Linked DNA regions of Drosophila melanogaster. The gene in region 1 interacts genetically with each later gene. Each region holds a gene or a part of one and is shown in the gene's direction. Other genes may lie near its edges. The genes, in order: Neurl4, Fpps, qm and neur.

Region 1 (7,647 bases):
CCGGCGACTTGTGTTCACCTGTTGCACCTGTAGGCGCTCCATGGAGGCTTGCAGCTTGCGTTGATTGTGTTGCGGGGAAACCACATTTTTCGTGCTGTCCGTGGTGTTTTTGTTGTTGGCAGACCCGCTTCTGCTGCTGTCCAAGTTATTGGCCCGGCTACGATTCATGTCGAACTGCTTCTGGCGTGGCGTAGCGGACATGGCGTCGGGGCATCTATATATTCCAAATAAATATCCAGCTTAAGACAATCTCGAATAACAAATGTGTTTCTTTATTTTAGTAACACCGACCAGTGTGACCGTCTTGGGGTTGCTGGAGTATTACTGTCGACGGGCTTTTGGTATTTAAACAGTGTCAATGGGTGCGTTCAGCAGGTAAATAGCAATCACGCCTTATGTAGCCTGTGAACGCATTCACTGCGTCAATAATATGTGCATTGATCGCTCGAACAAATAAGACCGTAAAAATCGCTATTCATTTACAGTTTCAGACGTTGAAGTAGTGTAAGTTCATTAAAATATTGAAGAAATGTGGGAGTATTGACTAATATTCTAAAATCACTTATGGCGGTTTTATATTTTAACAAATCGTAAAAATATCAAACTAACGGATTTTATACATATGCATGTGCACACTCGAGATTGGGCTTGAAGTTTTGGATATCCACTGCGAAGTGCGCACTTGATAAAGATGTTCGTATGCAAGGAGTTTTAAACTGGCTCCCGCGTATTTCGTTCGGAGTGCATCCTGGAGCACATAGATGTCAAGTAAGCGCAGCTTACTTAATTCGCATTAAGGCATATGGTCGTCGAGGAAGTAAAACTTTACTTGAAAAGCGGGGCGTGGCCCCTATCTGCATTCGGCCCCTTCGGCGGCCTGGGCAACTTTCCCAATCACATCGAGGATTATTCATTTGAGGAATGCCGTTTGCAGCATTACATGGCTCAACAGGAGGATCGCCTCACTATTTATGAGTTGCAGTATGCTCGCGAAATTGACTTGGCCACCATGAAAATTATTTGATTAAGATGTCGCCCCAAAAACTACTGGAAACATTGATTGAAATTTACGATCAGCCTCTAATCGACAGTTCCTCTGTCGCATCCGTCAGGGACCAGACTTCGGACGAGAGAAAATGCCAAGTTCAGCCTCAAAGCTTCCCAGGTTTTCAAACCAACTTTTCAAACCAACTGCCAGTTAAACATCTCCGGTGACACGGCGAGGCCGTCCAACAGAGCATGCTTAAGATGCTGGAAGGCAGCGTGGTTAGCCTAACCGACCGGGAACAACTGTTTTAAAACTAATATAATTTTGTTTAAAGTTTTTTGTTTTTAATTTCTTTGCAGTACAAGTGATCTGTTTTTAGAAAAAGATTATCCAAAAAGTTAGCTTTAATTTGAAACTCAAATTGAATATGAAATTTTGGATGCTTGGAGATTTTGGAGACTTGAAAATAAATGTATTTTCTTATTAGGCGAATTAAGAGCAAACCTTGTTAATTACATATAGCTCGAACTTTGTTTTCAGTGTAATAACTGATAAGCCATTCAACTAAACAGTCGATATGTTCGTTGAATGTATAGATTTTTGTTACATCTATGAACGGTCATACGAAAAGGATATTCATTTGTTTATTTTAGTTTGGCACATCTTTGAAAATAATGCATAATGCTTTGTGAAGATCTAGGAAACTGCAGACTACTCCATCGGAATTTTTCCATCAGCGCCCGAGAACCCAGCACTTACATCGCCAACAGCCGATGAGCCGCAATCCGCCCGTGTTCCCATTCCGACTGTCGATTGATTTGTACGGCGACAAGCGGCGGCGGAGAAAAGGACCGATAAAGCAGAACTGGAGGAGCAACCATGACCGGCAGAGAAGCGCAATCCTTCCACACACGCTGTGGCCGCTCCATCCGGCTGTACAATAACAACCGGATGGCCCAGCGCTCAATGCGGGATTTCAGTCATGCCCTGGTGTTCAGTGCTGAGCCCCTGGAGGACGATGTACTTTTCGAGGTCGTCATCGAGAAGAAGGTGAGTTAGCCACACGACTGCAGCAGATAGAGCTGCGGATAATGATCGTCTTGCAGAATACCTACTGGGGCGGAAGCATTGAGATTGGTGTCACCGCGGAGTCGCCGGATGACCTGGAACTGGTGGCATGCGCCACTGCCATGCGAAATGGCACATGGGTCATGTCCGGCATCGACGTGCGCAAGGATGGACGACGCCTATTCGAGTTCTATGGCACCGATCTGGAGACGCTCAACGAGAATGATCGCGTTGGCGTCATGCGCACCTCTGGTAACGATTTGGTCTTCTATGTGAACGGAGAGTCGCAAGGCGTGGCTGCAAAGAACATGCCCAAGCCTCTGTGGGCTCTTGTCGATCTCTACGGACGTTGTGTGCAGGTTTCCTTGTGTCCGCGCGATGGAAGTGGTTCCGGAGAGGTAACAATTCAGCTAATCCAAATGAATAGGTAAACAAAAACTCGTTTTCTTTGTACACAGCTTTTGGATTCTCCGCTGCAGCAACCACTGCAACAGGTTGTTCAAAACTTGGACGTGGCCATGAACGTAAACATTGTCGTTGACTCCGACGCCTGGATGCAAGGCAATGGCTCCGTATCCGGTGCTGATGACCGACTGTGCTTCCACACCCGCTGTGGGTCGTTGGTGAAGCTTTCGCCCAACTTTCGATCCGCCGAACGCCGTCGACCCCTGGACGAGTTCAATAACGGCGTGGTGATGACCCACAGGCCTCTGAGGGACAACGAACTGTTTGAGATTCGCATCGACAAGTTAGTGGACAAATGGTCGGGATCCATTGAAGTGGGCGTCACCACGCACAATCCCGCAGTGCTGCACTTTCCGGCAACCATGACCAACATGCGCTCAGGCACAATTATGATGTCCGGCTGCGGCATTTTAACCAATGGTAAGGGGACACGCCGTCAGTACGGCGAGTTCAACTTGGATGAGCTTCGCGAGGGAGATCGCGTTGGGATGATGCGCAAGGCCAACGGCAACCTACACAATTACATTAACGGTCAGGACCAGGGTGTGGCCGCCACCAGAGCACCGTCCACTTTGTGGGGCGTTATCGATCTCTACGGAATGACTATCAAGGTAACAATAGTTGATCGCGATGAACGTGAGCAGCAGAATCTCGTGACACGGCGAAACAACATAGTAGCAGGCATGACTGCATGTTCCAGTGGTGCTGGTGCTCAGCACACCCAGCACCAGCAGCATTCCGGCACCCCAACCCTGAGCCTCCTAAGTCCAGAGAGCGAGATGAATGCCGCTGGCGCTGCCGGCGGCCTAAGTGAGACCATTTCCAGCACGCGAGCCATAGCCAGGAACGATGACCGGCTAACCTTCCACCACATTTGTGGTACTCACGCCACCGTCACCCAGAGCGGGCGGACAGCGCTGCGGCCCAAGTGAGCATTGTTGTTTACGGCAGAAGATTTTTATGAATTTCAATTCCCCAATTTGTATGCAGTGCTGCCGATGATTTTAACAATGGTGTAGTGCTCACAAGGAGACCTCTGCGCCCCAACGAACTCTTCCAAGTGCGACTCGAACGCGTCGTGACCAAATGGGCTGGCTCTGTTGAAATGGGAGTGACCACGCACAGCGCCGACGAACTGGACTTTCCATTCACGATGACTAATGTGCGGTGAGTCCTGGCTTCTAGCCCAACTTTAGTTGTTTTAAACAACCATTTTCCAAACCAGTTCCGGCACTTGGATGATGACGGGAAACGGGGTCATGCAGAATGGAGTCACCGTTATCGAACAGTATGGTCAAAACCTGGATCGCTTGCAGGTGGGCGATAGAGTGGGTGTGGTGCGCAAGGACGACGGCACCTTGCATTTCTGGGTAAATGGAGTGGATCAGGGTCCAGCTGCCAACAATGTTCCCGAGCGCGTTTATGGTGTAATCGATTTGTATGGACAGGCAGCACAAGCAAGCATCGTGGACACTTCGGAGTGCGGTAGTCCGGACACTGGAAACTCTACCATCTCAAACACGACGTTGTACAGTGAAGTTCCGCTGCGATTTCACAGCATCCACGGCGCCAATGCGGGCATATCGAATAGTGGCCTAACAGCGTCGCGTCCCAATTCCCTGGCGGAGTTCAATGACGCAATTGTGTTCAGTAACCGACCGCTAAGGCAGAGGGAATTGTTTGAAGTGGAGCTGGAGACAATGGTTCGTCACTGGTCGGGCAACATTGAGATCGGGGTGACGGGCACTCGGCCCGAGGACATCCAGTTGGCTCCAAACGCCACCGATCTGGAGGCCAGCGACACCATCATCTTATGCGGCCCGATGATTTTTCACAACCGCAAGACTATACGCACGAATATTCTGCTGGATTTGGATACCCTAGGTCCTAGCACGCGTGTTGGTGTGATGCGCAATGGTGACTTCATTCACTTCTTTGTTGATGGAATGGATCAAGGGCCGGCCTGCGAGTGCCACGCACCGAACATTTGGGCCATTATCGATTTGTATGGGCAGTGCGCGCAGGTGAGTCTTACCCAGACGCAGCTGGACATCCGTGCTCCGTACGCGACCAGCGAAAATTCCCAGAGCTGCCAAGCCACATCGGTAATTCAGCATCCGGCCATGGAGACAAAACACCGCTGGACTTGCGTCTCCGGAAATGTAAGCCTAACCAAGGATTGGACGGAGGCCTCGCGCTTTACGGGAGCGGCGGCACCACTATCCCATTGTCTGGTATTTTCGGAACATCCGCTCAGCGTGGGATCACCTTTTGAGATTAAGCTGACATCGGTTAATTCCATGTTTGCTGGTAAGCTCCCCCGTTGTAGATATCTACATACATGTAGAGGATTTTAAAAATTTCTTTTAATGGTCCGTAGGTTGTCTAAGTATCGGGGTCACTGATTTGAATCTAAGCGACGAAAGCGTACGCAAGAAACTCCCAACCAGTATTCGCCGGATTCCCGCAAACGTGTGGTATGTTAGCGGAAACGAGGTGTGCTTTAACTCAAGCTGCCTGCAGCGCTCGCTGGCCTCCCTGGAATGGTTAAGGGTTGACGATAGGATAACTCTGGAACGAGTGGAGAACTCGTTAAACATTCTGTTGAACTCGGAGAACGTGAACATCCACTTTCACAACGTGCCCAACGATGTCTACGTGGTTGCCGAACTGAGAGGTTCGACGATGGGAATTCAAGTGATTTCCGCTCAAGGACCGGCGTCGCCACTACGTCCATGCAGTTTGCGTCTGCAGGACTCAATGGACTTTGGAGTGGATCCACTGAACAAGCAGGATAGCTCCATGCTGGAATCAATCGATTCCGAGGCACTGAACTACGAGTTTTTGGATGTCTCACAAAAGAACGCACGACTCAGCGATGATCGCAGAAGCGTGACCAGAATCAAGTCCTATAACCAGTCCATCGTCTGTCTCAATAAGCCGCTGTGTAAGGGTGAGAGCATCAGCATCAAGGTAGATGCCCTAAACAACAAGTGGAAGGGTACTGTCGGTCTCGGCGTTTTGTCCGCAAGTCCCCAAACTGTTCCCATTTCCCTGTTGGACTTTAAACGGAGCTGCTGGTTGGCCACCCACGACTACGTGAACATCAACGGTCAAGTGATGCCCTCCAAATACGGCGATGCCCTTGAGCAGATCCAAGTGGGAACTGTGATCACCCTGACACTAACCCATGCCGGAATGCTAAGTAAGTTAAATTTAAAAAGTTAAAAGTTATTTTTAATTATCAAAATTTATTCAGTCATTATGATTGGGTCAACGAATCTCGAGGATCTGGCCAGCGGACTGCCCAACCATGTGTATCCCGTGTTCGATGTGTACGGCAAATGCGAGAAGATAACATTGATAACTGGAAATGATGCTGGCCGCACTGGGAATGCCAATGGTACTCCAATTCTCGAGGCTCCGGAGGCCCTGGAATTGGATAATGGTATGCCACAGCAATGTGAAAAGGCGCATCTGGAAATGCACGAGAAGGAAAAGGACACGGAGCAGGTGTGCGAATCGGGCCCGTCCACCTCTGGTGCTCCTTCAAACGCCATGTAAGCGTATCAATAAATAGGTCTACTCCGGTTTTCTGTACGGAATCATTTTGCAGGACTCGATCGGTTATGGAGAGCGTTTCGGAGAACTTGCTGTTGAACATTTCCATTAAGAATCGAACTCTGGAGCAGCAGCGAAATGAACTCGGTGGATCATCGTCGACTTGGTAAGCATGACAATGGAAATGCGGATAAGAATGTAATTCCTAATTTTCTGAATTTCTTTAGTTGCCTTCGCGAGTCTCTGCAGCTGCAGCACAATACTAATTTAAATATACAACGCAGTCAGAGCACACAGAGATTCCAGAACTCTTTGAACACATCTGCAACGGCAGCGGGATCTAGTGGCACCAGCGGCTGCACGGCCAATACGCAACACCTGAGTAACTCGGGTGTATATGACACGAATAAGGAGTATGATGATCTACCCAATCCTCCAAACCCGTTAGTCAATTCCGTCGACGAAGCAAGTGGAGCAATTACGTCTGTATCCACAACGATCGATCACAGTGAAAACAATGCGGAGGCCTTGGAACTGAGTGCTAGCAATGAACGCGAAATGTCCGGCGAGCCCGCGCTCAACGATAATGTATTGGAGGACGATGAGATCGACTACATGAACCACCTGTTGCTGCTGCAGCAACTCCAGCAGAACGAATATACGCGGCATCATCTTATGCCCGATCAGGCGTCACTACTCAATCTCGACCTGCCATCCCTTAATTCCATGGAATCCGACACGAATTCTGTCGGCCAGACGCGGCCGAGTGGAGGAACAGATTCCCTGCGATCCACTGCCACCGGGGCCAGTGTGGAGCAGAACGACTGCGAGTATTTGCGTCAGGTGAGACGCTTCTGTGCATCGCTAGTTCTGCCGCAGGCCTTTTTTGATAGCCGACTTGAGCCGGTGTGCTTCTGCCTGAAGTGCAGTGGACCCAGCATCGGAGGAAATGGTGATAAACTGGAGGGTTGGGTTTATTTCAAACTAAACCAGCAGACGGTTAATGTGCTGAGCACTTCGACGTCGACTGCATCGGCCGGTGGTGGCGCTTCCTCGGCGACCGCTCCCCAAGTGCATTTTGATCTCAACGGAGACTGGCTGCCCTTCTACTACATGACACGGGTGGACAAGATTCGGGCGATACTGGATCGTGGGCAGCCGCTTCCGCTAGAAACGGATCCGGACGAGGAACCGGCCGCTGCAGCGCTCAAGGATGAGCCTGGTACACGTCTGGAGCTGTACTATTCGCCCAATGCCACGGTCATTGAGCCCGTGCTGCCGCAGCATCACTTTGCCTCTGAACAGGGACTCCACCGCATCTCCACTTCCTTCGAGGTCTACGTTCGGCGGCAGTCGATTTCGGGTGTGACCACTGGCAAGGCTGCGGCCGAGGCGAAAAGGCGCAGCCTGGGATCCACCGACCACGATCATGGTGGAACTGGTCAAGGTGCCGACGGCGTGGGAGTCACTCCGTCCGCTACTCTCAACGAGTCGTCTGTTCATCTGCTAAACGATCTCTGCTGGTTTACTAAGGAGGCTGGCGCCTGCATAATCAACGCTTTAAT
Region 2 (4,319 bases), on another chromosome or scaffold:
TATAACTGGAAAAGGAAGTCCGTGTTTGACGGAAACATGTTCTGGTGCTGTTGCTGCTGCTGGTTGTTGTGGCTATTATTGCCGCTGGGATTGTTGCTCCCGCTATTGCTGCTACTGTTATTCCCATTTCCATTGCCCCGCTGCATGGGCATCGAATTGCTGTAGTGATTCTCCTGCTGCATCATAGCCTGCGGCTCCATCAGATCATGGCTGTTCTCATCGGATTCGTCGTCCGAGTCATTGCCAAAGTGACTACCATTGCTGGTCATCTGGTTATGGGCATTGCCATTTAGTTGAATACGGGGTTTCTTCATATGGAAATGGCTCGATGACGAAGAGTCTAGACCATCGCCCTTGGGGTTATAGACATGTGACTGTTGCATCTGCAGAGTGGAACTGTTGCCGATGGAAGCGCCCGTGGCGCTGGAAGAGGAATGTACCACCGGAAGCTGCTGTTCAGATGCCGGCGACTGTTGCTGCGCTTGTTGCTGCTGCTGCTGCTGTTGTTGTTGCGTCTGCTGCTGAGGATGATGGGATCCTGCCCCAATTCCTTGCAGCGGCGACGACAGCGGTGATTTCATCGAGGATGATGTTGAGGTCAGACTGCCAGCGCTGTTCTGGGCCCCGTTCATGCCCACGGAGCCATCCTTGTATTGATCCTGATAACCTTGCGAGGAATCAGCCATTACAGCTGCAACGGCCGCCGCCTGTTGCTGCATTTGTGACTGTGATATGTGCTGGAGCTGCTGTGAGGCCACGGCAGCCGCAAAATCCCTGAACACCTGGTCCGCCTCGATCTTCACCTGGCCATTGACGTTTTCCAGCGCAGATGCAGCAACGTTACTCAGAGCACTCATTGCGTGTTGCTGATCCGGCTGGTGGTAAAGATGACTTTGCCCTGAGCTGCCAAACTGAGACACATTCTTCATGGAGCCATTGGACTTATCAACCTGGTATTCGTTGTAGCCGGAGCTGTTGGCGGACTGTGGAGATGTTAGGAAGTTCGGCACATGGCGGTAGGACTTGCGCGGCTGGATGTGCTGGTCCAAGAACTTCATTTTCTCCAGGTATGGACGCGACAGGTGTTCGTAGACAGGTGGATCGCCCTGCTTCCGCTGCGACACGTAGCGTTCGCGTAGGTACTTCCACCGCTTCTTGCACGTGTCCACTGGAAAGGAGGGCAACATTTATATAGAGGATCTGCCGGAGGAGCGCGTCTTCCTCACCATCCGTGCGCAGCTTCATCGCAATCAGCTGCCAGGCCTCGTCCTTCGTCTCGTACTTGCCACCATTGGCGCCGCCGTTGAGGTAGTACTTCTGCCGGTTGTAGATCACTCCGTGCTGCGCTACCTCGTCAATTAGCTGCTCATCCATCATTTTAGTTTAATTCGTGTTTTCAGCTGCCAATTTGCCTTTGGTGTATGTCAGGCCATTTCCAACACTGTTCATGGGACATCGAAACAGTGTGACCGAAAATGTAGCAGCAGAGTGTCAAATATAATTTGAAGATATTGATATCGAAATATATTCGACAATTTGCATCATGTTTAAATTCGTCAGCATTTTGATTTATATATAGTAATGCATTTAATTAATTAACACGCAATAAAATTAATAATTTCAGCAAAAGTAAATCATTTGCTGTTCCTGAATTTACTAAATAAAAATGTTTAAAAATTTAACTTATAAGTTACCTTCACAAAATTCTCGAAAAATAAAAGTCAGCTATAAAATAGTTGCTATAAACGTATTATGGTTATTTGAAATTTTAAGGTGGGTTCTTTTGCGAACCGAGATTCAGTCACACTGGCAATTTGGTACCCGAAGTTGAATTGCCGTTTTGTGAAGCGGATAGTTACCTGCCGATAATCTTAAATAAAAATGTTTAAACTGGCCCGTATGCTCCTGCCGCAGCAGCGGATCCTGGCCAGCCCGCTGCGCCTGCAACGCCTGATCTCTACCAGCGACGAGGTCAACGCAGAGCCCATCATCAAGTCCATGGACACCATTGGCGGCCTCCCCACCGAACTGGTCAACGAACAGAAGCTGAAGAAGACTAGCAGGTAATCAATCTACCGGTTTTCGCACTTGACCTTTGCCTTGCCTGTTTGTTTTGTTTACATTTCGACCGGTATGGGCATGGGCATGGTATGCATGTATCGGAGGCCTGTTTTGGGCGTGATTTTCGAAAAGGAGTTTCGGGGTCTTTTTTTCTTGATTTCAAGTGGGGGAGAAAGTTTGTATCGAGCCGCTTATGCAGTCACGTAGACCATAGATGCGTGCATGTGTGTGTGTATGTATTTGTGCCTGCCTGGTGGTGTCAGTTATGGGCTCTATTGTTCTTGACTTTTGTTTTGTCCACAGAACCTTATCGACGCTCCAAAATCACTCGGTTCCCATTGCCGCTCGCGTCACGGTGTCGAAAGATGAGAGTCGCGACTTTATGGCCGTGTTCCCAGGTGAGATTTGTTTATTTATGCCCAGTAACAATTATCATGCAAATACTAATGCTAATTATATTTCGATGTGCAGATCTTGTGCGTGACATCACCACCGTGACGAAGGCATACAATTGCAGCGACGCAGCCAAATGGTTCGCCCAAGTCCTCCAGTACAATGTGCCCAGGGGCAAGAAGAACCGCGGCATCCTCACCGTGCTCACGTATAAGAATCTAGTGCCCACCCAGGATCTTACGCCGGAGAACATAAAGCTCGCCCAGTATCTGGGCTGGTGTGTGGAAATGGTAGGAGTTTTATGCATTAAATAGTTTTCCTAATACAAAGTTATCGATCATCTTTTCAGCTCCAAAGTTTTTTCATCATCTCAGACGATGTGATGGACAACAGCACCACCAGACGCGGCCAACCCTGCTGGCACAAGGTGGAGAACGTGGGCCTGACTGCCATTAACGATGCTCTTATGATTGAAAACGCCATGTATGCCATTCTCAAGAAGCACTTCAGCCACTTGGACTGCTATGTCGCCCTAATGGAGCTCTTCCACGAAATCACATACATCACTACCTGCGGACAATCGTTGGACCAACTGAACTCGAACCGCTGTGTCTCGGAATTCACAATGGAAAACTACAAAGCAATTGTCGAAAATAAGACTGCCTATTACTCCTTCTACCTTCCATTCGCACTTGCTTTGCACTTGGCTGGGTAAGTAATGGCCATACATATATAAGATTCCGCTTATTAATCTTCCGCTCTATTGTTTAGCTATAAAGACGCAGAGGCCTTCCGTCAATCGAAGACCATTCTCCTAGAAATGGGCAACTTTTTCCAGGTTCAAGATGATTTCCTCGACTGCTTCGGTAATCCGGAAGTGACTGGTAAAATTGGAACCGACATTCAGGACAACAAGTGCTCGTGGCTGGCAGTGGTGGCAATGCAGCGAGCCAATGTCGAGCAAAAGCAAATCATGGTCGATTGCTATGGCAAAGAAGGTAAAACTAGCTTAGCAAACCCGCACAATTAGACATTGACTTTTGAATATTAACCTGCAGAACCAGCTAAAGTGGAGCGAGTGAAAGAACTGTACAAGGAACTTGGACTGCCATCCACCTATGCCATTTTCGAGGAGGAATCCTACAACATGATTAAAACGCACATACAACAAACCTCACGCGGGGTGCCTCACCAGACCTTCCTGCAAATACTCAACAAAATCTACCAACGTGACTCCTAAATTACTCAAGCGCAACGACTTTACGGATACGTTTTTAATTAAATTGTAGTTTTAGCATTTACATGGATGAACTGTTAGCAAGGGCTCAGCAATTACAACCGATATGAACTTTTTACTATACATACAATGTTCTTTGCTTAATCGTCTGTAAAATCAAAGGGCGCAAAAGCCTTTCGGAAATCTTCCACATACGCCACTTCTTCGTCCTTATCGAGAAGGCAATCCTTCCAGTTCACTTTTTCATCGCAGTTAAGAAGATTCTCCGAACAGAACACGTCCCTGAAAAAATGAGTTTAGTCAAGAGTTGGTAGCTTAAATCGAGAAGTTAACGCACCTTGCGAAATGAATGGGAAAGTGTTTCATTTGCCGCGTTATAAGTGTGCTATCGTCGGGTAACTCGGCCAGGAAATAAGGTCCCATTTCAGGCAGCATTTTCTCAGAATCCAATGCGGGAAGTGTCTCAAATTCCAGATTAAATTCCTCCGCCTTATCCTGCAATGTTGTGGGATATACATCATATGTTATAAAAGGTTGAATGTCGTGAGCATACCTCAAAACTATGTTTTATCTTCCAGGCATAGCCTTCTTCAAAGGCAAGCGCGTTGATTTGTAGGTGAACCGATTT
Region 3 (7,702 bases), 6.7 Mb from region 1:
CACCAAGGAACTGGCAAAGTCATTGAACCACTCCAGGTGATCGACGGACCTCTTGTGCCTTATCTGCTCCGAAGCCTTGGATGGCGTTTCTAAGCCATTGGCCGTACGTTGAATGACCAACTTTGTGGAGGGCTTGTAGATGGTTATGTTTGAGCGACGATTTCGAGGCGACTGCATTGAAGTGCTGGCGCTCCTGGCCACCAGATCTCGCTTCTGCTCGAACTGCTGTGCGTTGCGCACAAAGCGATTGCTGCTCGGTCCCTGGATGACGATTTCGAATGGTAGATTCAACGTCTTGGCATTCATCTGCATGGTGCGAATGCACTCAGTATCGGATTGGTCGTCATTACACTCGCACAGGCACTCCTCGCCGCAGTAGAAGCCCAAACAGCCGCAATGCTCACACAGCGCCTTGCAATTCTTCTCGAGCTTCGACTCCGTCAGGGGATTCACATTGCGACTAGCTTTCGTGGATGTGGCCAATGTCGATGGCGGTTTGGTTGTCGTGCTGGACACTACACTTGCTTGGAACTGAATAGCAGCCAGTAGAAGTATCACCGTATAGCCACTGAGGCTGCTCTTCCGTATCTTTTCCGTCATCATTGTGGGTGCTCCAGTTCAAACTGTCTGGCCAATTGCGATGCGCAACCGATTTTATAACGCTGACCAGGTGAAATCGTAGATGTTCGTGACTGACAGTTGATTCTAGCTTACAGTTCGCCGGAATTTATGCTGACTTCGTGTGATCTTGAGACATTTCCCAATTGGGTTCTCTAATTGAGTTCTTTGTGCCGGTTTTTTTTGGCACACTTCGGCGTGCCAAGGCCGAATTCCCGCACTTGAACTTGGCCCAGAACACACATAAATCTTTGTTTACAGCGTTTATTACAAAAGAAACCAAACAACGAGTTGCCACTGAAGTCATTAGCGGCGCTTGCCCTTTCCCTTCTTGCCGCCACCACCACCCCCAGATCCGGATGCATTCGACTGTGGCTGCGACTGCTGGTGGTACGAGTCGCCGGATTTGTTCTGTCGCGTCTTCAGCTGCGGTATCTTGCTGGCGATATGCAGCATGATGGACTCGCGCGTGGGAAAGTCATTATTGTACAAAGTGCCATCGACATTACGCAGCTGGACGCGCACACGACCACGGAACTCCATCTCGCTGCTGTTCTCGCGACAGTACTTCTTGTTCTCCATGAGGAACTGCAAGTTGGAAACGGACAGCACATCGCGAATCTCAATATAGCTGGGATTGTCTACACAGTTCTCCTTGGGCAGCCGTCGACCCTCCTGGCGTGTCTTTTTCCTATTGATGTAGGCGGGATATATGCAAATCCATCTGTGTTAACAACAATAAGAGTTACATGCGAAATCGAACTTTGTGTTTTGTTGGCCAGTGCCTGGTTCCTACCGCTCCATATCGTTGTGTTTCATGCTGGGGCTCCAGTTTTTTTTCATGGGAACTGCTGTCGCCATTCTTTCAGTGAATTCTTGGTTGGTTTATTGCAATTCCTGTGTAATTAACAAAAAATGAGCTAGAAAGCTATTTTCCACGCAAGCAACCCAATTGAAATAGGGATGGCACGTGCAGCTGGCCGAGTAATCGATATTTAGCGAGGAAGCCAATAATTATATGGCTTTTTCTGGCTACTACGTAAGAGGTTATTTATAAGCGACTTAAATTAAAAGAGTACATGAAATAAATTATTTTAGGTAATTTTAATTTTTGGCTTATCTGGTTTAATAGAAGTTGGCGGAAAATAGCCAACATCTATTAAGCCACATTTCCCATCTCTTGTCATATCGATGATACCTCTACAAAAAGCCCTCCTAACCCTATCGATAGAAACATCGACTTGCGATCATCTCCAATATGCAGGCCGCGGAAGAACTTCAATAACAGTCTGTTTTTGGTCTTTCCGTGGTGTAATTGATTTGAGTTGTGCGGATAACGCGAAAAACCAATCGACGAGCGTCGGCCAGCAATTCTAGTCACGCGTGTCGCGAAGCCAAGCGGTAAACAAAAAGCACGCCCCACACCGCAGTGACCCCCCTCCATCAACACCAACACCACCACCCCCCGCGCTCTATCAAAACAACAAAAGCACACACGCAAGGCCACGGCGGAGCAGCAACAAGAAAAACAACAACAACGGCGACAACAATGGAAGAACTGAACATCATATTACAGAAGACCAAAGATAAATCAACGCAAAAGGAGCAGGATGAGGTACTTATCCCACGGCTTAATCCTTCCGGACCCCGTGAACTTTGACATTCGAAAGTGGCAAGCGAACGAGAGACACAACAGCAAACTAACCAGCTATTTTGGCCTTCCTTCCGTTCTCCTTCTTTTTCGACCCACTTCATTTTGGGCTTTATTTACATGTGGCCCACGCACGCAAAACGCTATCCAGATTCTGCTGCAGCCCTTTACATACATACAACAGATTCCTGGCAAGCAATTCCGCTCTGAGTTGGCCTTGGCCTTCAATCACTGGTTGCTCATACCGGGCGAAAAGTTGGCGCAGATCGGAGACATTGTGCAGATGCTGCACAATTCCAGTTTGCTGTGAGTATATATCAATTATCTGATTAATAGCCCTATATCAGATTAATAGCACGCCAATAAATCAGCATGAAACTACAGACAATGCAGTGTTTTTGGCCCAAAAGTGTATATACTGCGTATATACTCTATTAAAAAGTTTAGCAAAGTTAACTTAAGCGATAAATATTATCATAACAAAGTACTGACTAACTGGCATATCAATATTAAAACAAAATATTTTACTAAAATATCACAATACATACTTTTGTACTCACTAAAAATATGTCTGTAAGAAACCATATAAAATCAGCGCTAGTTTAAATACCTGTCGATTTATTGCCAGCCAACTAATCATGCTAGTCGTGCTTTACTTTTTAGTTTTGACCTTTGCCTTCCTTCGTTTTTCTGCTCCCCATTATTTGGCTTTGTTTACGCTTTGTTTGTGCCCCCCCCCCCCCTTCAAACACAAAACACCCGAACGTTTGACCCCCACCCCGTTTTGGCCACTTCTCCTGCATGTTTTATCTCAATTCACACTTGCAGAGTCTGTATTTGTATACATTTGGCTTATTTGCTTTCGTTCAGATGGATTCCAGTTAAATGCCTAATCGAGTGTAAAGTTCTTTTGGGCAAGTGATGAAAACAGTAGAGACTCCACGCTCCAAAAATGTGAAAATGCTGCCATATGCTCGTTGAAGAAACTCTTATCATCATCAGCTCAGTTCGTTTCCACAACGCGCATATGTTATATAGAACTTTGCTTTATCATTTCGTTGACTCACTCGCACTCTTTTCCCAATTGGATTTGACCATATACACAGTCTCGCACATTTGTGGATTATTTGGCCAGAGCGTTGTACGCTGGCCTCAAATCAATTTTCAAATTTCATCATGAGCCCGCAGGTTTCTCTGTTTACAATTGAATTTCTTTGCAATCCAATGTGGATTCGGAAATTGCATAAATTATTTAGATTTTTCCCCCAGGGCGGCCTACGGAGGAAAAGCGATGAATAAGATGATGTTGGCTTGCCAACAAAACAGTCGCAATTAAACTTTGAACTCAGCCAATTGAAGTGTCTGCGCCGCTTTTCAATTGAAGGCAGTAAAGTGAGTCGAAGTGACCAGGGATTTTCGCCTATCTTCAGGCAGCAGCTATGGAAGTATTCATCTCGCTTTCAAGCTAATCCCGTCCTGCCTCCGGCCACCTGTCGCCATTAACCATTCGGAGGCAAACACTCAGGAATGGCCTTAATTCTGCTTAAAATCCCCAGCATTGTTCCTCGAGACAGCAGGCAGTCTCATTCCTCCGCCAAGTGGCCTGCATGTTCTTGGTGTTCCCTACTTTTTTTTTTTTTTTTACGTTTTTAGTAATGCATTTTCATATTGGCAAAAAACTTAGTTTTTACAACGACGCCAGCAGTTGCAGCCATAGTGCCTCCTCGTACGACCCTCGTCCGTCCGTTCGTCATTCATGCACTTATGCCCATTGTCAGTTAGTCAGGCCGTCGCCAGTCGACAGGCATTGTCACAACTCTTGCCACGCAGCCCATTTTCCTCATTTTCCCCAACACCAACCAGCCTCCTTTGCACCCAATCCCCATCCCATACCATACCATTCCTCATCCCATCCTTTCCATATCCCGGCCCCTTTGTGCGTTGTCGCTTCAACGCCCACGCCTTCGTGCCAAGCCATCCAATCCCGTCCCGTCCCCATACCATCCATATTCCCTACCAATGACTTTGCCAGCTTTGGCGGAGCGCAAACATTTTTTAATTACGCAAATGTTGGGCTGCCCAGCTCGTTTTACCCGCCGGGCATCGTAGTTATTGAAGCGATGGCGGCCTTTAAGCGAGGCTTAAATTTACACATCCATTATTTTGGTGGAATGAGGAGCGCCAACGTATGTTTATAAATATGAATGTGGATGGTGGACACATGGAATCCGCGGCTCCCTTCGCTCGAATTGTGAAATTCTATTTAAAAACCCATACTTTTCTATGCAGTACGTGTTCATATAGTGCAATTCTGAATTAATTGCTATACAAAAACATCTGCTGATAAGTAAACTATTGAATCTTAAAACCAAGAACATATTTTCACATTTATTCTAATTTCAAAACATTACTGGCTCGAATTCTTTCTTTGCTAAGTTGATTGTAAGGTAGTAAAATTGTAGTATCTAATGCTTGAAAGTATATTAAGCTTGAATACAAGTACACAATTAACTCACGGCAAATTATATACATGTATGTTCTTGATACTAACTTACAGCATTGATGATATTGAAGACAATTCGATCCTTCGCAGAGGTGTGCCCGTGGCGCATTCCATCTACGGCGTGGCCAGCACCATAAATGCGGCCAACTATGCACTCTTTCTGGCGCTGGAGAAGGTGCAGCAGCTGGATCATCCGGAGGTACGCAAATCCACCTCTACTATGAAGCTCAAAGTAATCCGCGTTTCTTGCAGGCTACCAAGGTGTACACCGAACAATTGCTGGAGCTGCACCGTGGACAGGGCATGGAGATCTATTGGCGCGACAGCTTCACGTGTCCATCCGAGTCGGATTACAAGCTGATGACTGTGCGCAAAACTGGCGGCCTCTTTATGCTGGCCATTCGCCTTATGCAGCTGTTCAGCTCCAACAAGGAGGACTATTCGAAGTTGACGGCTATATTGGGCCTGTACTTTCAGATACGCGACGACTATTGCAATCTGAGTCTGAAAGAGGTGAGTGTATAGATTGGTTGGCAATATGCATAAGTCATTGTTAATCTGTGATAACATTCCGATGTAGTACACGGAGAACAAGAGCTTCGCCGAGGACTTGACGGAGGGCAAGTTCGGCTTCCCGGTAATCCATGCGGTTCGCACCCAAAAGCAGGATAAACAGGTTCTACGTAAGTCCAACGTCTTGACCTCAACCAAAGGCTTTTCACTCATTAAGCTGATGGCTTATGGTTATATCCACAGACATATTACGCCAGCGCACGCACGACATTGAGGTCAAGAAGTACTGCATCACCTTGTTGGAAAAGCTGGGCAGCTTTCAGTATACACGCAAGGTTCTGGAGTCGCTCGACGCAGAGGCTCGGTCGGAGGTTAGTACTTGAAGACAAGCAATGGGAAGTGGAAGTTGCTTGGAAGTCTTGATGATGTTAAAAGTAGAAATTCGCACACATCCCATCGTTGCTACGTGTTTTGTGCTAAACTAAAGTAATCTCTCAACCCACACAGGTGGCTCGTTTGGGTAGCAATCCGTACATGGACCGCCTGCTCAACAAGCTGCTGTCGTGGAAGACGAGCGATAGCGCCAGCATCACGCAGTCGAACCAGATCAATCACAACAACGTCTCACGCAGCAGCCCCAACCAGAACACGCTCAATTGCAATTAGCAGCCAAAGAGGCAAAAGAGGGAGCAGTCGTGAATTGCGAACGGCAGAGCCTCTTTTGCCGCCAATCCGGGACAGCAGCAGGCCAGCAGCCAGCCGACGCCTGCGTGCCTCAGTGCGCCCCTGTTGCGTTTCCTGCAGAAGCTGAAGATATTCTGAGATTTATGTTACCCTTTGCCAAACCGAAAAGCCCACAGAGAACCCCTACCTTACTGTCAACCGAAACCAGAGCGATGAGAACGGAAATAGGAGGAGGATAGGATTTGGATTTGATAGTGAATCGGATGAAATGGGATGGATAACAAAACCAACAGCAGCCTTACAGAAAATTGTTAAGCCAAAAGTAAATTGATATAAGCCAAGCTTATCGTTGAGCTAGCAAAGAGCCATATTACAGCTTTCCAAGAATTTGTTTTTTTACTTTTACATTTTACTTTATACTTTTAATTTAGTTTTGCTTCAAAGTTACGTAGTTAGTTAGCTCGTTTAGTTTCCCCAGTTTTAGTTTCGCCCAACGAATGGGAGAGGGGGGGGGGGGTGGGGATCAAGCAAATCTCGCAGAGCATTACTGAATTATAGAATATGCAATTTTTTAGCTCTTGTATTTCTAAGTGTGTTTCGTATTCGTAACTCAATTCTGCAAGCAATTTTCAATTTCTAAGTGTCATTTTATCAAATCTAACTCACTCGGAACTCAATGTGCACTTCCTTTATCGACGTTGTTCCATTTTAATTGTTATACAAATGCGATTCGTATACATACATACATATGTACTATTAACGACAAATTGTTAATGTTTTATGCAGACACTATAAAATCAACACAAATGAACGCAACTATATATATTGAAATAATGATAATGATGCACTGCACGGCAGGTTTTTGCACATTGCACCACCTAAAAAATATATACATATATTATATATAAAAATATATATATTTTTATTGTAGTTATACACATGAAAGAAACAAAAAGAAATAAACGGCAAGAGAAACCGGAAAAATAACAAGAAAATTAACCAGATTGCTGAAGTGGAAATGGAAAACTATAAACTATGCGAACATTTTACGGTAGAAACGACAACTAATAGCCGAGAATTTACAGTGCACGCCCAGATGCAGCTAAACGCAAACGCACCTAACATTTTGCCCATATACTATATACTACTAATGAAAACATTGAAATATATGTAAATGTATTTAAATAAATATTTATGCCAAGTTGTCAACTAAAGTTTAAGTGTCGGGGATCATTTACAAATAGTCGCCATATCGGCATGTTAACTGCTTATCCAGAATTATACATTCATTTAGAAAGAATACATTTTTAATATCCATTTCTTAACCTAGTAAAAATAGGTTTCCTAACTGTTTTAAATGTGTATTTAAATAGAAAACAATGTAACGTAGAAATACGTTATTGTATGCTTGGTATGTACATAAGTTAGTCATAATTACTTATCCATTAGCTTTTGTTTTCAGGAGACTAAGAGTCCTGCTCAATCATATCCATCAGCTGCAGAAACTCCTGGGAAGCGCCATCGACCTCGTTTTCCCCATCGCCATACTCCTCATAATCATCGTCGTCCTGCATGAAAACCAAATTTTTGAGTAATGGAACAAATGCCAGCTAAAGTTTTTGCAACTAACCTCGAAACCAAAGCAGTTTTTGGCACTGATCTTGGAGTTGGCGCTCGGTTCGTGCTTGACCAACACCTCCTCGTCGCCATTAACCAGCTCTACGACCATTACC
Region 4 (4,577 bases), on another chromosome or scaffold:
TGCCGGTTCCTGTTTCGCCAACATCACCTTCTCCGACCTTTTTTGCATTTTTGCAAACTGAGCGAACAGGAGGGGGAAATCGGGTAAGCAGCAGCAGATGTATTTCCAGGACGCACGCCTGCTGCCAGGATGCTGAATATGCATTTCCACTTTAATATCAAAATTTAAATGCTTTCTGCCCCGTCTTGATCCCTTCCGATCTTGAAAATTGCATCTGCTGTGAGGTCTGCCCGGTTCCGTCTGTCGATGCAGGACAAAAAGGACGAGGATGAGGATAAGGAGCGCTCGGCGCAATTATCATCCTCCATCAATGGCAGCGTGGCATCCATAAAGGATAAAGGATGATCAGACGCCAGACGGCAGTTATCCTGCTGACCACAATGCTAAAGCTTAGCAAATGAGACCACAATAGCATGTGTCCCAGATCATAGGTACATTTTTTTAAATTCTGTGTAAGCTAATGGTTTCAAAACTGGGAATTGAGTTACAAACTTTCCATTTCATTTTATAATCTTTATAGTGCAAACTTAAAAAATCAAAACAAAAACAAATCTCGTTTCATATTCTCTATTAAAATAAATTGCACATACAAAATGGACAATTAAATGTGCCGAAAACAATTGGGAAAAGAAGAAATTTATTATTATTATCAAGAAACGTTTGGGAATTTTTTTTAATTCCCATGGAATTACTCCATACATACTCCAACTGAGTACATACATACACACATATGTATGTACGTGTGATATTTGGCCCACAAAGTTCACGATCAAAAGCATTAGGGCAATTGAAATAGTTTTCTAGTTATATGAGCCAGACCTTGTAAACCCTGCGAAAAAGAAAAAGAATTGCTTTGAACCTGGCTGAACTACACACACACTAAGGTGAGGAGAATAACTGTTAGTGAAGATCAGAGCACTATGGCCAAAATCCCAAATGCAGGCCTAGAGCAACAACAACAAGAAGCAGGAAGAGCAACAGCAGGAGAAGATGTGGAGGAATCCCTGATCAAGGTGCAGAGTTAGAGGCATAAAGGTAAATTATAAGGGAGGCTCTATACACGCGAATAGCAGGCACAAAGCGAAACCATAGTAAATAAGAAACAGCTGCCAGAGAGAGAAAGAGAGCGATGGCGTCTCATAATTTTCTCTCTTGAGCTCTCTTTTTCGCTCCATCCACGCTCAGGGCTGACAGCCCTTAGCCAGAAAATGGATAAATTTTAAATTATTTGAATAGATTGCTTACAAATTATAAGTTTAAATAAATTGAAGCATTTTTAATGTAATTTAGTTACCGTTTCTTGATTTTAATTAAATTGTAAAACAGGAAATGTTATTCAAATCTACAGCCCAAATTGTCACTAAACGTTAATAGTAATTATAAAAAACTTAAATTTCCAAATATGTCTTACTGGCATACCTAAACTTCTAAATATCTTGAAAACATATACTAAAAAAAGCCAAATCTGACGGGAGAATTTCTGCGCGCCAGTACTATCCGTTACTCTCCAGCTGAGCTGCGTCAGCGACGTCGCGCTGGTGCGAAGCTATAAAAGGCTGCACCACCGTTTATTTGTTGAAAAAAAACTCAGCGAAAGGTTGTCTCGAAGTTGTCGTCGTCGGTCTTTGTGTTTCGTATCGTTTCGTTTCGTTTGTTCCCGTTGCGCGCAGACAAACAACCAACCAAATTCAAAATGTTTTAACGGAAAACATTCAAATTCGAAGAAGAACTCTATCGCTTAATTTAATGCCAAATAAAATACGCAAGCAGCTTGTGCATTTTCATTAGCATTACGCGTGTTCGTTTAGTTCGTCTGTTTTAATTTAAATAACGAAATAAGAAATAATCCACTACCATGGGTCTATCGGATATACCAGCCAACTATATGCAGGGCAGCCATCCGCACCTAACTCTCCATCCGCAGCAGCAGCACCACCAGAATCAGCAGCACTTGCAGCATCTGCAACAGATGCAGCAGCTGCACAACGCCATGCCCACTCCCGCCCAGCAGGCCGCCCAGGTCCTGGCCATGGAGTCCAACGAGCTGCTCATGAGCACCAAGGACAAGCTCTCTAGCAAGAAGAAAATGCACTTGCTCAAGAAGATCAAGAAGCGCTTTGGATTGGGTTAGTAGTCGCATTAGTACCAGGCTAAGAATCGGGCTAAGGATATCGATGGATATATTAACAAGAATATTCAGTTAATTTCCAAGTCGTTTTTCAAAGGACGTACAATTCTCGGAATATCCAGGAATAATTTTTAAAATCAGTGTGATTGGGTTCTAAAGTAGATGTAGTACATTTTAACAATATAAAACTTCCTTCGTGATATCTGACCATTAAAGTCTTGAAGCAAATGTAATTACCGCGTGCGAAAATGCCTTAAATACATTATTCATCGATCTGGGAATCGTATTTTTATCTCCAGCGATATTCCCACATAATATTAGCATGTGGTCTGACCTATCGCTCTTTCATTCATTCGGTTAATTAAAGCGGCAAGATAAATAAGCGAGAAACACAGCCAGCCGCAATCATTTATGCATACATTAGCATTTTACGTCTCAAGAACAATAACAAATAACGAAAGATAAGAGCAAAAACCGAAAAAGTTTGAGTTAGTTTAAAACAAAAAGCTAATGAATAAATGCTCACCCAGAACACGCCCAGTTTGCGATTATAATAGTAATTGTTTTTTTCCGACTAGATAGACACAAAAGAAGCGCGAAAAAATCTTAAATGTGAAATTCTCTCAAGGCTTTTTCGGCAGAATTTAACATCGACACTCCGACTTTTTCGCCGGAAATGTCAGTTCTCGAAAACTGAATTTTTCAATCGCACCCAAGTAACCGCAAATTGATCGAGAAGACCAGATCGGAGGGATCTTGAGTTGAAGAAAATACCACCAAAAGCAATTTTCCCAAGGAGCGATTATGTTTATCATAACGATTATCTGGGCTGGGGAATTTGTTGCGCTGTTTTTGTTTTGGTTGCAAGCAGCTGAGCTAAGGAAAGACAAAAAAAAAGAAGTAAAAACAACAAATCACCTTTTTTTTTTGACTTTGGCTCAATTGCATTCTCGGCTTCAATGCTCTCTTTTTTGGCCAAAGCAGGCGAAGCAAAAGCAAAGCAAAGCCAGTGACGCATAGGCTAAGCTTCTACCCCTTTTTTTTTTATTTTTACTGGCCTCCTACGAACAATTGTGGTCGCACAACTAGCAGTCGAATATCAACGAACGACGCAATATGAATAATAAAAAAAAGTTATTAATTTAGTCCTTCAGCACTGGAATAGTTTTATTTGTCAAAAGTGGCTATGCAAAATATTGTACTGTATTTAAGAGATTCCATTTTTCCCGCCACCACTGTTTTTGCATCTGCCTCATTCAGTATTGCTTGTTGTTGTTGCTGTTGCCTTTCGGGGAATTGTACGCGAAGCGCCGTTGCCGCCATCGGCAAAAGCAAAAACAAAGGTAGCAACAACAGAAAAGCAAACGATCCACGGCAGGAGAAGAAGAGAAGAGCCATGGACTAGCGGGATGAGAAGAGGAAGAGGCGTGGCTTTGAAGCTTGAGTGTGTTTGGAGTTTTTATTTTTCTGCTGAGCGCTTAAGCCCGCAATGGTTTATGTTTTATGCGGCGGCTCCAGTCCGTTTGTTTTGAACGTGCGTTGCCTATCGGTAATCAATGAAATTGCTTTGTTGTTGTTTTGCTCGGCGTCAGCTGCTTTTGCTTTTTTGTACCTGCATTTTCTATTACATTTCGTACCTTGTTTGTTGTTGTTATTATTATTGTGTGTTGGCATGCCACGTTTGCTTTGGCTAAAAAGTTTATCTGCTCTTGGCTTTTACTTAGCTTCTCACGGTTTACTTTTCGAAATGGTTTGCTTGGCCGTGCGTGTGCTTGCAACTGAGCACTGCCAACTCGTCTTTGAGACCCCGATTATGGGACACACAAATACAAATTGTCGCCCGACCTTCGATTGTTGGCCAAAAGTAAATAGTCAATTGTTAATGACGGTACGCACCCCCCAAGGAAGTTTGTACATATAAGTACATATCTAAGTACAATGTTGGTCACCATAAATATACATACATTAACTTCTGAGACCTAAAATGTTATTCTATTAAGTTCAAAATATGTAAGTCGCCGCTTAAAAACAAATTTCTGTAAACATAATGTTTAAGAGACATTTTGCTAATATTGCTTCAATATTAACATATTATTGTTGATTTCCCAGTAAGCCATTTTCTGTTGAGCACAGTTGTATGCTGAGCATTTTCGCTACATACATCTGTTGCTATATTTTTCCACTTTCATGCATCCCCTTCGTTATTTTTTCACTTATTTTTCTCCCCCTCATGAGGTCATCATCTCGATGTGTCATTCTGAAGTTTGCGTATAGTTATTGTAGTATAGTATAGTTCATATAGCTGATATGAAGCACTGCTTAATTTCGCGCTTTGATAACGGACACTGCGAAATGTTATCTCTACAAGTGTAAACGTTTTGCAACTGATTAACTATAAATACCAGTTGTTAACTATTGGGGATATACACAAAGATGCTTGTGCTAACTT

What was found.
Region 2: of Neurl4 (region 1) and Fpps, changing one suppresses a phenotype caused by changing the other (phenotypic suppression), as found in Drosophila melanogaster (one study listed by BioGRID).
Region 3: of Neurl4 (region 1) and qm, changing one suppresses a phenotype caused by changing the other (phenotypic suppression), as found in Drosophila melanogaster (one study listed by BioGRID).
Region 4: of Neurl4 (region 1) and neur, changing one enhances a phenotype caused by changing the other (phenotypic enhancement), as found in Drosophila melanogaster (one study listed by BioGRID).

Annotation. Positions count from the first base shown.
Region 1 is NT_037436.4:14,043,890-14,051,536, reverse strand, and holds the start of Neurl4 (neuralized E3 ubiquitin protein ligase 4), read left to right. Parts: upstream 1-1,644; 5' UTR 1,645-1,867; coding exon 1,868-2,038; intron 2,039-2,094; coding exon 2,095-2,454; intron 2,455-2,514; coding exon 2,515-3,449; intron 3,450-3,511; coding exon 3,512-3,688; intron 3,689-3,746; coding exon 3,747-4,831; intron 4,832-4,901; coding exon 4,902-5,726; intron 5,727-5,780; coding exon 5,781-6,081; intron 6,082-6,137; coding exon 6,138-6,248; intron 6,249-6,309; coding exon 6,310-7,647. Other genes in the region: CG6833 (uncharacterized protein), read right to left, coding at 1-201.
Region 2 is NT_033778.4:11,305,005-11,309,323, reverse strand, and holds Fpps (farnesyl pyrophosphate synthase), read left to right. Parts: upstream 1-1,795; 5' UTR 1,796-1,881; coding exon 1,882-2,063; intron 2,064-2,364; coding exon 2,365-2,459; intron 2,460-2,532; coding exon 2,533-2,744; intron 2,745-2,803; coding exon 2,804-3,165; intron 3,166-3,225; coding exon 3,226-3,452; intron 3,453-3,512; coding exon 3,513-3,694; 3' UTR 3,695-3,813; downstream 3,814-4,319. Other genes in the region: CG7745 (uncharacterized protein), read right to left, coding at 1-1,168, 1,227-1,377; CG7741 (uncharacterized protein), read right to left, coding at 3,832-3,973, 4,029-4,186, 4,245-4,319.
Region 3 is NT_037436.4:7,346,443-7,354,144, forward strand, and holds qm (quemao), read left to right. Parts: upstream 1-1,870; 5' UTR 1,871-2,167; coding exon 2,168-2,233; intron 2,234-2,420; coding exon 2,421-2,575; intron 2,576-3,961; exon of another isoform or gene 3,962-4,360; intron 4,361-4,826; coding exon 4,827-4,971; intron 4,972-5,024; coding exon 5,025-5,285; intron 5,286-5,352; coding exon 5,353-5,455; intron 5,456-5,528; coding exon 5,529-5,656; intron 5,657-5,792; coding exon 5,793-5,951; 3' UTR 5,952-6,291; exon of another isoform or gene 6,292-6,900; 3' UTR 6,901-7,180; downstream 7,181-7,702. Other genes in the region: CG14834 (uncharacterized protein), read right to left, coding at 1-603; Srp19 (signal recognition particle 19), read right to left, coding at 925-1,342, 1,415-1,479; CTCF, read right to left, coding at 7,436-7,537, 7,600-7,702.
Region 4 is NT_033777.3:9,030,728-9,035,304, reverse strand, and holds the start of neur (neuralized), read left to right. Parts: upstream 1-1,573; 5' UTR 1,574-1,855; coding exon 1,856-2,126; intron 2,127-4,577. UniProt on the Drosophila melanogaster protein: Involved in neurogenesis. Interacts with other neurogenic proteins in the specification of the neuroblast versus epidermoblast cell fate.